Linked DNA regions of Oryzias latipes. The protein of the gene in region 1 interacts with the protein of each later gene in a biochemical or structural test. Links are inferred from orthologs where the notes say so. Each region holds a gene or a part of one and is shown in the gene's direction. Other genes may lie near its edges.

The links.
Region 2: the proteins of map1lc3c (region 1) and sqstm1 form a complex in vitro, tested with the Homo sapiens proteins (6 studies listed by BioGRID and IntAct, with this or other methods). The link is inferred for Oryzias latipes from reciprocal best matches to the Homo sapiens genes MAP1LC3C and SQSTM1.
Region 3: the proteins of map1lc3c (region 1) and nedd4 form a complex in vitro, tested with the Homo sapiens proteins (2 studies listed by BioGRID and IntAct). The link is inferred for Oryzias latipes from reciprocal best matches to the Homo sapiens genes MAP1LC3C and NEDD4.
Region 4: the proteins of map1lc3c (region 1) and serine/threonine-protein kinase 3 form a complex in vitro, tested with the Homo sapiens proteins (2 studies listed by BioGRID and IntAct). The link is inferred for Oryzias latipes from reciprocal best matches to the Homo sapiens genes MAP1LC3C and STK3.

Annotation. Positions count from the first base shown.
Region 1 is NC_019859.2:738,094-741,642, reverse strand, and holds map1lc3c (microtubule-associated proteins 1A/1B light chain 3C), read left to right. Parts: upstream 1-1,400; 5' UTR 1,401-1,489; coding exon 1,490-1,550; intron 1,551-1,624; coding exon 1,625-1,680; intron 1,681-1,750; coding exon 1,751-1,857; intron 1,858-2,633; coding exon 2,634-2,796; 3' UTR 2,797-2,913; downstream 2,914-3,549.
Region 2 is NC_019868.2:3,816,773-3,820,982, reverse strand, and holds sqstm1 (sequestosome-1), read left to right. Parts: upstream 1-1,321; coding exon 1,322-1,490; intron 1,491-1,927; coding exon 1,928-2,023; intron 2,024-2,116; coding exon 2,117-2,385; intron 2,386-2,511; coding exon 2,512-2,656; intron 2,657-2,728; coding exon 2,729-2,797; intron 2,798-2,866; coding exon 2,867-3,003; intron 3,004-3,077; coding exon 3,078-3,342; intron 3,343-3,417; coding exon 3,418-3,578; 3' UTR 3,579-3,692; downstream 3,693-4,210. Other genes in the region: mrnip (MRN complex-interacting protein), read right to left, coding at 3,862-4,071. UniProt on the Homo sapiens protein: Molecular adapter required for selective macroautophagy (aggrephagy) by acting as a bridge between polyubiquitinated proteins and autophagosomes.
Region 3 is NC_019861.2:21,566,998-21,571,216, forward strand, and holds the start of nedd4 (E3 ubiquitin-protein ligase NEDD4), read left to right. Parts: upstream 1-1,354; 5' UTR 1,355-1,936; coding exon 1,937-3,235; intron 3,236-4,219. UniProt on the Homo sapiens protein: E3 ubiquitin-protein ligase which accepts ubiquitin from an E2 ubiquitin-conjugating enzyme in the form of a thioester and then directly transfers the ubiquitin to targeted substrates. Specifically ubiquitinates 'Lys-63' in target proteins.
Region 4 is NC_019869.2:24,049,850-24,054,318, reverse strand, and holds the start of serine/threonine-protein kinase 3, read left to right. Parts: upstream 1-1,619; 5' UTR 1,620-1,779; coding exon 1,780-1,805; intron 1,806-3,027; coding exon 3,028-3,108; intron 3,109-3,232; coding exon 3,233-3,361; intron 3,362-3,536; coding exon 3,537-3,651; intron 3,652-3,888; coding exon 3,889-4,053; intron 4,054-4,469. UniProt on the Homo sapiens protein: Stress-activated, pro-apoptotic kinase which, following caspase-cleavage, enters the nucleus and induces chromatin condensation followed by internucleosomal DNA fragmentation.

The DNA of each region.
Region 1 (3,549 bases):
GCGCTCCACCTCGAAGCGCGCCCACTCGTGCTGCAGGAAGTGCAGGATTCCTGGGACGCTGTACCGCGCGCGGGCCGCCTCTCCGCCGCTCACGGAGCCCAGATGCGGAGCCGAGCCCGAACCGCCGCCGCTCAGGAACACCCCGGGGCCCGCGTGCTCGTCCATCATGGCGGGACCACGGAGCCGCTGGTTCGGTCCGGTGGGTCAGCCGCGTCGCTCGAAAATCCTCCGCGGAGGAAAATCCATCCAGAACCGCGCGCGAGCTGTGGACCACGCAGTCCCGCAGCCTGTCAGACGGATGCTACGTCACAACCGCTTTGCACTGTCAAAATAAAATACCATCAATGAAATGAAAGGTTTCCAAACAATAACGCTCCCTAATGTTTTATTCGGTATTCTATGTCTCAAGTTTGTGTAAATAATTTATATTACTTATTTTTTGCTCTCAATAGCTTATAAATATAATATTTCAAAAGTTAAAAACAGTGTTTACTCGTATTCAGAACTGTATTTATTCTTGTATTGGTATGAATTTTATATTTTCAAAGACATCTGTTGGGGGGGGGGGGGTATTCTGACCCCTCCCCATAGACCAGTAGCAGAGTGGGGGTTTGAAGACTCAACAGGATGAAATGAACAAAATGAATAAATAAACTTGAGGAGGTATAAGGCTTCTATGTGGATGCAGTCTGTAAAATCTGTTTTTTAGACAAAATATTCCCAGAATGCAAAGACTAAACCTGTGAAGGTAAATAAAACTTTATAAACGTCACCAGCACCAGTTGACCCCCCCAACGCCATTCAGGTTCATTTGTACGCAAACCTCTGGAAGATATAGTCACAATGAGAAAGGATACTTTTATTTTGAAAGTACTAATAATAACATGTTTGGACTTTTCTTACCTGCGCCATGACGTCACTGACCCGCCAGCTGACTGTCTGCACTTTCCTGTCTTTGACTGATGGAAATCCAGATCATTCTGAGAGTTGAAACGAAGATCAACAACAATGAAAATTTCAAAGAACGGACTTCATTTAAACAGAACTGAACTCTGAGGATGAAGATGATGAAGAACAATTCTGTCTGTGATGTTTTTGTGAGAATATTTTGAATCATAAGTTTGGTTTAAAATTAAATCAGCAATTGTGTGTGGTTACATGTGTGTATTGTTGTATGCGTGTGTGTGTGTATGCGTGTGTGTGCGTGTGTGTGTGTGTGTGTGTAAATAAGGAGAGTAAAGCACGTGACCTTGTAGAGGTCATCCCAGCTTGGACCTGCGCGCACGTGACCTGGCTTTTCACTTTGATCACCTCACGTTCATAAAGGTCTCTCAAACAGTGAGGACCCCCCCACCTCCGGCTGATCAGAGACCCGTATTGACCACGCCCACCCCGTGGACACGCGGCAATCAGCTGATGTGTTCCAGCCGCCCGTATTTAAGCCCCACGCGGGCTCGTCCGCGCGCTGTCTCCGACCCGGCGCTCCATCATGCCTCCGCTGGAGAAGATCCCTCCGCAGAGCAAACCTTTCAAACAGAGGAAGAGCTTTGGTAAGGCCTCGCGCGTTCACGCACGCGCCACAGTTTGCCACTAACGTAACGCTCCGTTTGTGTCGTGCGCGCAGCCACGCGGAAACAAGAGGTGGCGGGAATTAAATCCAAATTTCCGAACAAGATCCCGGTAAGTAGGCGGCCGTCACGCGCAAAGGTGTTTGTTCGTTCCCACTCAATCAGCTGCTGCGCCCCCCCAGGTCATCATCGAGCGCTACGACAAGGAGAGGTTCCTGCCCCCCCTTGATAAGACTAAGTTTCTGGTGCCGCACGAGCTCACCATGACGCAGTTCGTCACCATCATCAGGTGAGTCTGTAGAGAGCGCGCCGTGCGTGCGCGCGTGCTCTAGGCTGTTTTAAAAGATCAATTATCTTTCTTCATAAATGGGTCAGCTTTGTTTGTTCCTGAAGGAGACACATCACGTGACACTGCAGGCACGCGCTCCTTAGAAACCTTTTAGAGGGGGTGGGGGTATCCAGAACCCAGATGAGCTGCTCAGTCTTCTTCATCCAAGTTCTGACTGCTGAGTCGGTTCTGAAAGTCTTCCGTTGTGTGGATCAGAACTTTGGGTTCAGTTCTTCTCTGAAAAGTTTTGGTGACAGATGTCCAGATCTTCCTCCTCTTCTTCTTCCTCCTCTTCCTCCTCCTCTTCTTCCTCCTGAGTTTCTGAAACCTGCAGACACTTCTGATCTGACTTCCAGCTGCCGTCTGTTTGCTCCTTCAGCCGCTGTAATCTGACACCAGATTATGGATTAGCAGATTAAAGTCCAAAGTCCGGTTCTGTCCTGCAGAGCCCTGAAAAACGAGGATCTGGGAAGTTCTGGGGTGGATCTGAAGAGCAGATTTCTGACCGTTTTGATCAAACTGCGGATCTGTTGGAGTTCCATCCAGAATTTGGGCTTCATGGAGGAAATCAGCTTTTCAGAATAAAATGTCTTCCTGTCCTCATTCAGCATCAGATGTGAGGAAATGACTGGTCAGCAGGTGGCGCTGTGGACCTGGAAGCTTTTTAATCTGTTTTCAGATGTCAACAGAATCCAGTATGCTGGAACAGCTGCACATTGACGCCCCTCCCTCTGCAGGAACCGGATGGCGCTGCTGCCCAGCCAGGCCTTCTACCTGCTCATCAACAGCAGCGGGCTGCCCAGCATGTCCCTCACCATGGCCCAGGTCTACAAGGACCACCAGGACGAGGACGGCTTCCTCTACATGACCTACGCCTCGCAGGAGATGTTCGGACGCTGACGCCGCCGCCGCACTTTTACGGACTTCCGCTGTGAATCTGCTGTAAATAGAAAATATTTTTATAAACTGACGTTTCTGTGGACTTTTAAAGATGAAGCAATAAATGTTGAGCAGTGAGGCGTCTGCAGGACTTTCCTTCACCTGAACAGACGGCGTCCGGTCTGCGCTGCGTTCAGGTCCGTCTGTAAATGTGAGGGTTGATGGAAAAGAACCGGCTGTGTTCCAGAATGTGGAGCTGAGGATGGAGCCGTGTTTGTTCAGATCATTTCCTGGATGAAGGAAGGTCTTTGATCGCTGCGACGGGTCGGGTCGGGTCGGAACTCTTCAGCCTCAAACGCGTTTCAGTTCCTGACAAAGTAATCGGAGTAAATGTCTAGCTCCAAGAAGAGGGGAACGGAGACCTCCAGCCCAGACAGAACACCCCCCCCCCCCCCCACACACACACCCGGGGGGGGGGGGGGGCTCTAGAACCTGGTCTGTGTTCTGAGTTTGACTGGATCAGCTGAGAGGTCCAGAACAGAAATGGTCATCAGAACCCCATCAGTGACTCCTCCTTAAACCCAAACCGGGTCACTGTGTCGGTAGAGTCCATCAGAACCAGCACCACTTCACTGGACTCTAACATCTGTCAGTGGATTTATCGCCGAGACGTCACGTCTGTTCTGTCAAAGATGAGAAATGTGAGTTTCATGACGGCACAAGCGGGGACCCCGCCCACTGCGGGGACCCCCCCCCCCCCCATCAAGAAAAGGT
Region 2 (4,210 bases), on another chromosome or scaffold:
AGAGTACACAAACACACAACAGTACACACAACTGAACAAAGCATGCAAATTCCCCATGTTGGTGAATTAATCATTAAGATTTGAAGAGAAGACCTAAAGGTGGACAGAATATCAGGAGATTTCCTCATAAACATTGACTATGAATTTATCATTACTGGTAGTTTACAGATGTAATCCATTTACTACACTTCTGAAAATTGTTTTTCTTTTTTTCCCTCTGAATAGGAAAAATAACTGAAGAATTTTAGACATCAACTCCCTCTCAGTGATCCAGGACAAATAATGGTAGACATGAAAAATGCTTACAGTTAACTAATCATGAGTATTTACTAGAATACAATATATTAGTCTTCATGCAGCTATTTTAACCTTCCATTAGGTCTCTTTGGCTTTAAACAAAAAACCCTGATGATTTCAATAAACAATGGCGTTGTAGTTTTGGTTTATTTATTTAAGTAAAGTTGTATCTTAGGTTTAGATTGTTCACTTGTCTTCGATGTTATAAGGCCTGATTATTTATTATTATTTTCTTGTGACAAACTTTTTTCCTTTTGACTTGGAAGTAATCTCTAAAACAATAATAATTTTAAAGAATAAATATTACATTATAACATTAACAAGAATAACATAAAAATGTAGGCTCCTCCTTGAACAGCTGAGAAAAAATGAATTACAAATTTCAAAAACATATAACGTTTTTTTTCTCCAAAAGAAAAAATCTAATGAAGTTTAACTGTTTTAAGGAAAAAAATTCCAATGTTAAATGAATTATTTATTTAAAATAACTGACATTTTATGGTTAGTTACTAATTTCTCTTTAATGAACTTCCATAGTTTTAAATTGAAAAGATTAAATTTTTTCCCTTGTTTAGTCTGAAACACTAAAAGTACTGAAGCAGTCTAGAACTTTCCTACTAATTCTAGAAGGATCCATTCCGATGGGCCACAGGTTTGATAAACACAGGAGGACGTCTCTAGGCGATTCATCGTTTCCGTGTTTTCATGGCCGCAGTCTGCCTTCTCACGGTGACTCCGCGATGTGTGTGAACTGTCTGCTGGGATCCTGATCACGTGACACACAAGACGGCCTCTGATTGGACCTCTGGAACCGGCGTTCCTTTTACACGGACCAATCCGCGGCTGCGCAACTGTTAACAGAATCACGTCACCTGCGGAAGTAAACATAAAAGAGGCTGAAATTTATCGCTGCGTCACAAACTGGGATTTTTCTTGGACTGTTCAAGTGACGGTTTTGCGTCTGTGTCTCGGTCCTGCTCCCGGTGTCAGAACTTTGTGGTTCGGAGTCCACAGCAGCAGCAGCATGTCTGTGACGGTGAAGGCTTACCTTCTGGGGAAGGACGAGCATGTGAAGGAGATCCGCCGCTTCGCGGTGGACCAGGACGTGTCCTGCAACTTCGAATATCTCAGCAAGAAAACCGCGGCGGTCTTCTCCAACCTGATGAACTCCTCCTTCAACCTCTTCTACAAAGGTGAGCCGCATGGGCCGGGTCAGACAGAGCCGGGATCCGCTGGGTCTGATCGGAACCGTCATACTCACTAACCTGGAACCGAACTTTTTGTCAATACTTTATTAAACAGCCGCAGTAACGCGGAAGACCAACTTAGAGAAACATTCGAGTATATAGAAGGACTGTAGACATTTGAATCTGTACAAACATAATCCGCCCACTGACTTATTTAAGAAACAGCTAATTTAAAGGGATTGCTGTCACGTGACGCATGTAGCCACGCCCACAAATTTCTGTCCTTTGATTTGTGCGCAATTGAAAATATTCAGTTGATCAGGAGGCCCGAAGTTTAGACCCCCCCCCCCCCCCCACACCCACACACAAACACAGGCGGAGTAGGTGGGACCTTATGACGTAGAGGGGAGGAGCTTCAGGTGTGATTCCGGTTTATATTTCAGATGAGGATGGAGATTTGGTGGCCTTTTCTTCTGATGATGAGCTGATGATGGGCCTGGGCTGCGTGAAGGACTCCACCTTCCGCCTCTACATCAAAGGTAAATGCACGGCCTCCTGTGTGAGATCAGAGTGACCTCCCAGCAGTCCTCCCTCACGGTTTTTTTTTTTTTTTTCTTCCTGAACTCTGACAGAGAAGAAGGAGCACCGCCGTGATTTCCCACTGCATGCCCTACCCCCTTTCATGTTTGGACACCCACCACCCCATGGCCCCCCTCATGCTCCACATCACGGCCCTCCCCCCGCCCTGCACCCTAACGTCACCTGTGACGGCTGTGAAGGGCCGGTTGTGGGAATGCGGTTCAAGTGCTCCGTTTGTCCCGACTACGACCTTTGCTCCACCTGCCAGGCTCAAGGGAAGCACACTGAGCACGCTTTGCTGCCCATCTGGCACCCCCTGCAGGTGAGTTACTCCATCTAACCATCTAATCGTCTTTCCACTTCTGTCTGGACATCGTGCTGATTTAAAAGAAAGGACTTTTTGGTCAAAGCCAAAATGCACTGACTGAACCAGAAACTGTGTCTGCAGTGGTTTCCCCGTGGAAAGTGGATGAAGAGAATGAGACACTGCATGTGGAACCAGAACCAGAATCAAAACCAAAACCCAGAGCAGCAGGAACAGCAGGACCAGCCAAGGCCATCAGCATCTTCGGGTGACGGTGGAGAACCATCAGGTGAGAGAAACTCAAAAAACGTTTGAGCCTAGGGCATTAACATGCTCCCACCTTAACCTCTGACCTCTGCAGCTTCCCAGGCTAGTGTGGACTTCCTGAAGAACATTGGGGAGGGGGTTGCCGCCATGTTGAGCCCCCTGGGTGAGTGTACATAGTGGAGTTGCTGTTTTTGGGGGACAGGCAGGAAGTGATGTCATGATTTCCATGCAGGAATCGACGTGGACATTGATGTTGAGCATGACGGGCAGAGGTCGAAGGTGAATCCACCCACTCAGGCTGGAGGGGGGGATGACAATGTGGCAATGGATGTAAACGAAGGGGAGTCTGCAACTGCTGAGAGGTCAAAGGTCAGTCTGTGTTCACTGATCAATGACTGAAATGAACGTGTCAACAACTGACCCTCGTCCCCACGTACACGCAGGCAAGCCGGGACTCTGACGAGGAGTGGACTCACCTGAGCTCCAAAGAGGTGGACCCGTCCACGGGGGAGCTGCAATCCTTAGACCCCAAGAACCACGAGTGCGAGCTGCCGTCGGGAGGGCAGCAGGGGCCCCCGTCGGGAGGGCAGCAGCCGTCGGTAGGGCAGCAGGGGCCCCCGTCGGGAGGGAAGCAGGGGCCCCCGTCGGGAGGGCAGCAGGGGCCAACAGGTCTGCGGGAGGCTGCGCTGTACCCCCACCTGCCTCAAGGTGAGTCTAGTTCTCACAAGTATCATTTGCTATGACTGTTGCCCTCTTGTAAGCTCCTCCCTCTGCCCCCCACAGAGGCGGACCCCCACTTGGTGGAGTCTCTGGCTCAGATGCTGTCGATGGGCTTCACTGATGAGGGGGGCTGGCTCACCAGACTCCTCCAGGCCAAAAACTTTGACATTGGAGCGGCTCTGGACGCCATCCAGTACGCCAAGCAGCCCCGCCCACCACAGTGACCGCACCAGCTGCTTTATTTAACCTGAGTTTCTATCTGTTCAACTGTTAATCAACTCCTTAACCTGTTTCTGTCTTTTATTAATCTGTTTCTGAACAATAAAAACATGAAGGAATCCGAGTGGGTGGAGTCTTGATACACACCTGTACTGCCAAGTGCACAGCAGGCTGCTTTTGAGAACCAAAACAGTCCAAATGAAACACTAAATGTAATTTTATATCACCTGTTTCCACGGCAACACCTCCACCAGCAGCACACTTGAACCAGACTACACATAGGAGCTGCTAGAAGTCAATACTGAAGTCTTCCTCAGTTTCGAACAGGGAGGAAACACTGAGTCCTGGGTGGGGCATGTTGGGGGCTTGACTCCGCCCACAAGCTGGAGGCTCCTCCTCTTGGATTTCGGAATCAGATTTGAGAGAGCAGGCTGAGCTAAAGGCGCGGGGATGGAAGTGAGCTTCATCAGCAGAACGTCTCATTGCTGGACCAATCAGCTGCAGATAAAGAACACAGTAGTGAAAGTTGGATGACAGAAACACCAGAACCTGAAGAGAGAACTGTTTCACTCAAAGTGACCACGTGCTAAACAGCAGCCTGATCTCTCATATTGAAAGAAAAATTCTCATTCAACAA
Region 3 (4,219 bases), on another chromosome or scaffold:
TATTACATCCTAATGGATATCTTAGCCTCCATGCTTCTAATTTGTCAGTATAGGACTCAATGTGTAACCACAAGGCTCTTTAGAACAGAAGATTGTCTTGCTCCATTTAGATCGAGAACTGAAAGATTTCCTGGATCCTGGATGAAGTGGTGACTCAAACATCAAACTTCTATGTTTTATCAAAAACATGTGTCCATGGCAATTGCTTAGAATGATTCCTTAGAATTTGATAGTCTATGTTTATGCTGTAATTGGTTTTTATCTAATAGGTACCATCTGCAGACTACAAGTTTTGATTTTCTGTTCACTTTTGATACGCGCAACCTGATTCTGCTAACGATTTTTCCAACTTTAAAGAAGTCAGTATTAAATATTGTAAAAAAAATAAAATTATAAATATTTGGCTAAATCAGTGATGTGACATTGTCCATTCCTGGTAGGTTCCATTCCATACATGTTAGTGTTTCTCCGCTCGATTTAATTTTGTATTACTGCTCAATTTCAGTCTCACTGATACATCCAGTTGGAGCAGTTTGATTTATTTCAGAGCTAGATTGGTTGGTTTACTGTAAAGTAAAATAGTTAAGATTTAGACTGACTCCTATTTTACCTCTTCAAATTCTCCTCAGATCTTATCTCAGAGTTTCCATTTGTAGCAACAATATCTTGCACTCTTAAATGTTGAGTAAATATGACCTTGTTTACTTCTGCGTCATGGAACATGAGATCCGGCAAAGCTCCTTCATTGTATTAATATATTACATCATGATACAGTTGTGTAGATTGACAAATATGTGTGTGGTGTTAGTCATACATCTTATCTTATGGCTGACCTATCACCATCACTCTCCTCTATCAGTTCTGGGGAGTGACTCATCTGCAGTCATGTGGTTCACTGGTCATGTGAGACATTGTTCCACCATGAAAGTGAGCAGGAAAAAAAGTGTCTGCTCGTGAGTCATGTCATTATCCTAGCTTTGCTTCTTAATATTAAACATTACCACCGCTCTGTATTGGAAAGCAGAGTAATTATCGGAAATAGACCAGCCTAGCTAACAATAAGCTTCCATTAATAAACTGGACTGTCAACAGCCATGGAAAAGAAATCAGAGCAGCAACTGGCTGTTACATGCGGAGTCATATAACCAGTGTCGTGTGACGGTAATGTCACAGTTATTATAGTTTTTATTTTAAAAGAAATATCCTTTAGCTCAGTGTTTAGCAGTTTGTTGGATCCCTGCTCAAAACAAGTAATTTAGCATTCTAGTTTATCACTTTGGAAGTCTCAGCATTAATGCTGTTGTGCAGCTTTAAATCTGTCTTACAATCCAAATGATCTATTTCTTCAACTTGAGCTTCAGTTTGATTCAGAATTATGTTGAAAGTCTTTCATTTTGATTTCCTGTAATTTCCTGTAATTCAATAGTAGAAGGTAAAAATATTTGTTGGAGGAAGGAGCAGCGAAACATTAGATGAACTGCAGTCACAGGAAGTGCAGTCCTGAGTGAGTGAGCCAAAGCAGATGTAACAGTTCACTAGACATTCAGCGTAAGTCTGCCTTCTTCAAGCTGGTTTTTCTTTCTTTTTAAAAGAGTAAACAAGATTGAATAAGATCGAGAGGGCAGACTTTCGATAATGGCATAATTACTTGTGTTTTACTGTAACTTTGTTTTCTGTTAGGGGGTCTGCTCTGGTTTTAAAATTGTTCATTTGGGTCAAGTATCCAAACAGAACCACTGGCCCCTTCTGACTTAAAGCTGAGATGAGCCTGGAGAGGAATGTAGGTTGTCACCAGAGCTATTTTGGCAATGTCCAGTCGCTAATGATTGTGATCACAGCGGAGTGCGCAGCAGTTGCTTTACTTGCTTCTTTTTCCTACCAGCAAGTGTGATCATGCTGCTCTTACAGGCGCTGCAGGGATTAGGGAGTTAAACAAATGGCGCGTCGGCTCCGCTTGCATTTCGCGTCAAGGAGAAGCAACACGGACCCCCTGTCACAAAGCCCGAGCAGCCACGATGAGGAGAGCGGAGTTGGTGCGTCTGTACGTAGTCCCACACAGAGTCTGGCGCACAGTTCTGTCCACTTGAAGGTGACTCCTCTGTCACCAGACTTTGCCAACAGTCAATACTCTTCAGTTTTCATACCGAGAGTTAACACTGGAGGGTGTAATACGAAGAGCGTTCTACAAATCTCACTGCAGCCCTGTGGACAGCTCAGTGGAGAGCAGGATGGCAGCATAGAGGATGGAGACCCTGGGGTTAATGAAGGCGGCGGAGGGTCGTGCCACAGCAGCATGGCAAGTGATGCTGGTTACTGCAGCAGCAACAGCATCTTTGAACCGGAGCCTCCAGAAAAGCACAAGACCAACCACGAGAGAACTCGACTCTCCTGGAGAACCAGAGTCCCACTGCGGAGGTGCTCGTCTTTGGTTATATTTCCAAAAAGCCCCTGCAGCACTCCACCTGCCTCCCCAGTGAGTTCAGGAGCTTTGCCACCTCTCCTGCCAGCAAGAGGATCTAGTCATTCAACTCCTCAGTCATCTACCAATACATTTTCACAAGACGACGAGGAAGTAAGTTACAAAGGGTCCACCACAGCTGCAGTCAGTTGCCAAAGTCAGCCAAGAGGAAACTGTTCAGCAGCTGAGGACTCGAAACACACGGTGCACTTTAATCTGCCTGTACAGGATAAACAGCAGTCCAAAGCTGAGAGCAGGAATGCAGGGGCAGAAGTTTCATCAGCTCCAGACAGGTCTAATCGTCACTCAAGTAGTTTGCTGCTGCATTTTACCCCCCACAGTCCACAGGGCTCGACAAAGGCAGCTCTCAGTAAGGATGCAAATGTGGAATATCCAGAGGCTCATCACCCTACTAATCGTGCTGAGCATGTACATGATGGGAAAAAAAAACTGTATCGCAGTACCTCTGCTTGTTTGTTTCCTTCTACAAAACCATCGCCCAAAAGGAAGCCTTGTTTAACGGGGAATGGCCAAGACTGGTCTGAGGATGGTCGCTGTCACCGTGCCGTGCAAAGGAGTTTTTCCCTCGAGGTGCCGTACCCTAACACCGAAATTTCATGTCACGTTTCAAAACCGAAGCTCAGCAGCTCTTATTCTCCCCATGTGCATATTCATTTGTCGCCCTGTTGCCCCACAAAGTTGCCCAACTCTACCAATGATGTAAACACAAGCCATAAATGGAATAATGAAACAAAGAGTTCAGGTCAGAGCACCAAGGTGAGTGCTATATTTAACGCTAACACCGACTAACAGCTGAATGCCTGAACTGGGATGTTGTGAAAACTAACATCTGTCAGAATTTTTTTTTAATGTAGATTATTGCCATATAGTTTTTCTGTGACATAAGTTCTGCTGAAAAAGTTGCTAAATAAGTCTAGCTTACAAAGATGTAATCTTACCCATCAGGATACTATTTAAAACGGGGTAATTGGTGCAAAATGCAAATGACAGGGTTTTATAAAATATGTAAATAACAAATAATTTAGAATTTTTGCTACCAGAAAAAAAATAGTTTCAATAAAATTTAAAGAACAATGCTACATATTAAGTACACATTTGTTTTTTCTAACTCTCCTTTTCATTTACTACCACTAAAGTGTTGCTTACAAGGGTTAGCCTTCAGGCTTTGTTCAAGACGTGCTGTAACTCCATAAGATCTTGAATACAAAGTCACGCAAAGAACAAGTACAGTGTGGACAAACACTTAGAGATATTGATTTACATTATATTTAATCCTTCCAAATGTGGATTTCCAAATAATGTGTGAATTGCAAAGACATGGTTCTTTACCATCTTGGGGGCATAACAATCCAATGTTGGGCAAACTCAACAGTTCCCTACTTTTATGATTCGGTTAGCACTATGAAGGATCAACTTAAGTATATCCCAAGGCTAATTTTAGTGGTGGGAAAAGTGCTGCCCCTTGCTGACTTAAATAAAGGGGCTCTGAAATATTCCCCCTGACTCCAGATAGTCTGGTGGACTGAAGCACTGCTTGGTCCTGTGGATTCAAATTTAACAGCATGATACTAGAGCAGCACACAGTCATGCCAGCCATCTGTGGACATGGCATGTGTGTGCGTGTTTCCCAGTACGTGTGCTGCCTGCACTGTTGTTCGTCTTCCAAGCAATGTTTGTTAAGTATTATGTGTCGGTCTCCCCACACTTTTGGCAGGTTGTAAGAAACTAAGGATTTCTGTC
Region 4 (4,469 bases), on another chromosome or scaffold:
TGAACCAAGGACAGCCCTTCAGCTGCAGGTATAGGCTGCAAGGAAACAGCTGGAGCAGCAGGAAGGAGTCCAGCTTCCTGCTCAATCACAGCCCTTTCCCACTTTTTCTGCCGGCTGGAGAACTTGAAGACACAGAGTATGCTGGTCCCAGGATGCTGGGATTTAGGAAAAGATACAACATCAGACCGAAGAAGTTAAAGGCTCTCACAACTGTGAGCAGAAAGTGAAAGTTTCAAAATTTAAAAGCGCATCTTTTAATAAAAACACAAACATTCAACATCGTTTCAGCACTTAAAACCATCGATTTCTCGTTAAATCAAAGGAAAAACAGCACTTACGTCCAACCAGGAAGACGGCAGTCATGACAGTAAAAGAAGGGGGGCGGGGGCGAGAAATTGGAACAAATCCAGCTCTCTGATTGGACCCCCAAAGTTTCAGAGTTGAAATTGGAACGAATCAGGCCATTTGATTGGTTGAGAAGTTGGAACATTTGGAACATGTAATGAAAACATGATGAGTTTGAACCAAAAATACGTCAGCTGCCCTGGACACGGCATCTCTGGTGCAGCAGTCGCGGTCCACATAGATCAGCTGGGGGGAGGAATCTTGGTGAATTGACACGGCCTCATAAGCACAGTCGCCATCCTAAACAGACCCTCGTGTTGTAGCCATAAACCGTGAGCAGTCAGAAAGGCAATGGAAGAACGGGCATAGGTGGAGGTGATAGAAATTGCTCCCTCTCATTGCTTCAAGCCAGGAACGACTCACAGTGAGTTAGTTAGTGAATCCTTCTTCCATCAGCAAGAGCACTAAAGATGAAAGGGGGCTGGGTCTTTTAGCATGACAACGATCCCAAACACACTGCCCGGATAAAAAAGGAGTAGCTTCTTAACAGCAGTTCAAGGTCCTGGTTTGGCCTAGCCTGTCAGATCGCAACCCCCATAGAAAATCTTTAAAGGGGAATGGGCTAAAATACCAACAACAGTTTGTGAAACCCTTGTGAAGACTTACAGAAAACGTTTGACTGCTGTCATTACCAAAAGAGGGTATGTAACAAAGCATTGAGTTGAACTTTCCTTAATTGTTTTTTCTCATTTAGTCTCTCATAGTTGAGGTATCCCTGTGATGAAAGTTACAGGTCTTTCTAATCTTTTTAAGTGGGAAAACTTGCACAAGTGGTGGCTGACTTTTTTGCCCCACTGTATCGGAATAAATTGATATAATATAGGCCCTTTTATGGGAAAGAAATGTCTAAATGTGGTGAAACTGAGACATAATTTTCCTGAGGTTAATTTTTACATTCGGCGCCCCATACCCTTTAAATGAATCCCAATAAAATCTAAAATTAGTACATACTATTCCTCGGACATAAATCAATTCTTTGTTTCCAAAATAATGCCAGTGTAACGTGAAAACATTTATATAACTTTAAAATTACATCTTTAAAAATTAAACAAAAAATTACAGTGCAATTTGAGTTTGTTGTTGAAGTTGTTGTTTTTTTGCTGTCATTTCTTTCATAAAAAACACAGGCCACGTTTTCCCGACTTTGTAGGTAACCCTTGAAGCCGCGAGGTGGCGGTAATGCGTTAGATCTTTTGTGCATTGCCCTCACTAGATTCCACGAAGAAGATGAAGCGCCCATCTCAGCTGGCCCTCTGCTAGTTTCTGACAACAACGCGTCTTGTCTGCCGACAATGTTCACACGTTCGTTCCATAGTGACAAAACGGCAATCTTTTTTAAAAGCGCTCCTTAAATTTACGTTTTCGAGTTGATTCATGATGGAGCCAACCGCGCCTAAAAGGTTTGTAAAGATTCCAATTGTTCAAACTTTAGCATAATCGGATGCTAGCTGAGCCCCTACTAGCTAATGCTAAGCTAACTCATTTAGTCGTTAAACTCCAGTGGTTTTGTTTGAAACTTTCTATTTACATGGATATAGGCCCTACTATTCTGTACTTCCTCACTTCAAAATTGACGTTGAAATTTCGAAACGGTGACACATTTTTAATCACAATTTTAAGGAACAACAAAAAAGTGTACATTTTATAAAACGTCTTGCCTTTTGTCCCTACAGGCAAATTTAATGTATTTAAAACGTGCGCGTACAGCAATTAAAATAACGAAAACAGTAGCAAATTTTATTTACAAAATGTAATTTAATTTATTGCGTTCTTCAAAACCAGTTAAGTATTATTTTGTTATGCAATTACATCATAAGCATATAATGTACTTTTCTGTTTGGCATTATATTTTAATTTTAAATACATTTGAAACTTTAACATGTTCATAACCTAATATTTATAGAAATATTTTCTATCTGCTGTTTTTATTAGAGCTATAGTAACAAGGTAATTTCCAATTTTTGTATCAATAAAGTTTAATTCAGTTGTATTTTGTTGTATCATATACAGTACAATACATAAATCAGACTTTGCACACACAATTGGCTTTTTTATTTGGTTGCTTTGTTGGTTTTCCTCATTTTATTGAATTTTATATTTGAAATTAAATGTGAATTTTACTAATACAGTATCATTGTGTTGACAAAATAAGTTAGGTTTTAATACTTTTTATGGTTGACAGTAATCCTGAGTGAGTGAAACTACATCTTCTTAAAACCTTTTCACATGACGAGCAAAAACCCACAGGGCCTTAATCAAGTAACATGAAGTCACTTCCTGGTCATTTTTGAAAGCCGTTTCATTGGAGGATTTCTAGTTGTGCTGTTTTTAAGCCTGTTATTGAAAAACTAAGAAAACACTTCAAGTCTTAACTATTGTGTTGAAATCCATACTGATAGCAATAAACAATTAACAAATCTGTCTTTTTTGGTAGACATTTTATTTGTTTCTTGCTCTCTGTTAAATATGGTAATCAAAGCAAAATTAATTAAAACGTATTTATATTAATTGAGTAAATAAATCTCATATTGTTCCCTCTGCATTACCTAAAACTATCTGGGCTATTTATTATTTATATTGTCTATTGATGTCAATAATAAGATGACTTTCTTTAAACTGCAGCAAGCTGAAAAAGCTGAGCGAGGACAGCTTGACAAAACAGCCAGAGGAAGTGTTTGATGTATTAGAAAAACTTGGTGAAGGGTAAGAACTTTGATTCCTTTTTTCTTTTCATCCTGTACTTTCCTTTTTTACAGTTGATTGTTGTGTTATACATTGGTTTTGCGCACCCTGGTGTGGTGTGTGACTAGCTTTGGTGTGTGCTTAGTTCCTATGGCAGTGTCTTTAAAGCCATTCATAAAGAGTCAGGACAGGTTGTGGCCATCAAGCAGGTTCCAGTGGAGTCAGATCTACAGGAAATCATCAAAGAGATCTCCATCATGCAGCAGTGTGACAGGTGAGAATTCCAGATGTCTCTGCAAATGCTTATCCGTGTCATGTGGAGTACATTAGATGATCAAAACTATCCAAAGAATTAGTCAAACTCAAGCTCCTCTGCACTCTGATGTTTGCAGGAATACTTCCCTTTTTTTGAGGTTTAAATACAAACTTTGCTCTGAACCTCTTTCCAGCCCTTATGTAGTGAAATACTATGGCAGCTACTTCAAAAACACAGACCTTTGGATTGTCATGGAGTACTGCGGAGCTGGATCCGTTTCTGACATAATCAGACTCCGCAACAAGACGGTGAGCCTTTTAAGTTTATGGTTAGAATGTGTTGTAAGATTGATCTGTTAGATTTCTTCCCTACTTGAAAAGAAACACTTAAAAGAAGCAGAAATAATCCAATTTTGACTACAGTTAGTCTATTTGGGCTGAAGAAATAATGTATTTATTTATGACTACCCTGATCTTTTATTAACACCAAGGTTTATCTCGCCCTGCCCTTTTTTGTTTTGTTTTTGCTTTGCTTTCATGGTCCAGCTGACAGAAGATGAGATTGCCACCATCCTTAAATCAACCCTGAAGGGTCTTGAATACCTTCACTTCATGAGGAAGATTCATCGTGACATCAAGGCTGGAAACATCCTTCTCAACACTGAGGGTCACGCGAAACTGGCAGATTTTGGAGTAGCAGGACAGTTGACGGTAAACAAGAAGAAATGATCCACTTATGTTTATTTGATTTGTGTAACTTGGTCTGGAATTTTTTTTTTTGATCCACACAAATCATACTTAGATCTATTTTAAACATGCTCCCAATAACGATAAAACTGTTTTCAGCCAGCCAAAATCCAAAAACCTGTGTCATTTCCTAGGACACAGGAAATTCACCTCTGAGTTGCAGCGTGGAGCAACGCCCCCATTCCCCATCACCCATATCTGAGAGCTGTTTGTACTCTCCCTTTTGCTTACACCTCCTCACACCCCTAACCTAACATTATCGCTGCAACAAAAATAGCGAGCAATATTGGAACAATCCAACCGGACCAGTTTTGATCTAGATGCCAGCTCAGACGAGGAATACGAAGACGTTCGTGGATGTAGTCGTCTACAAGTGGATG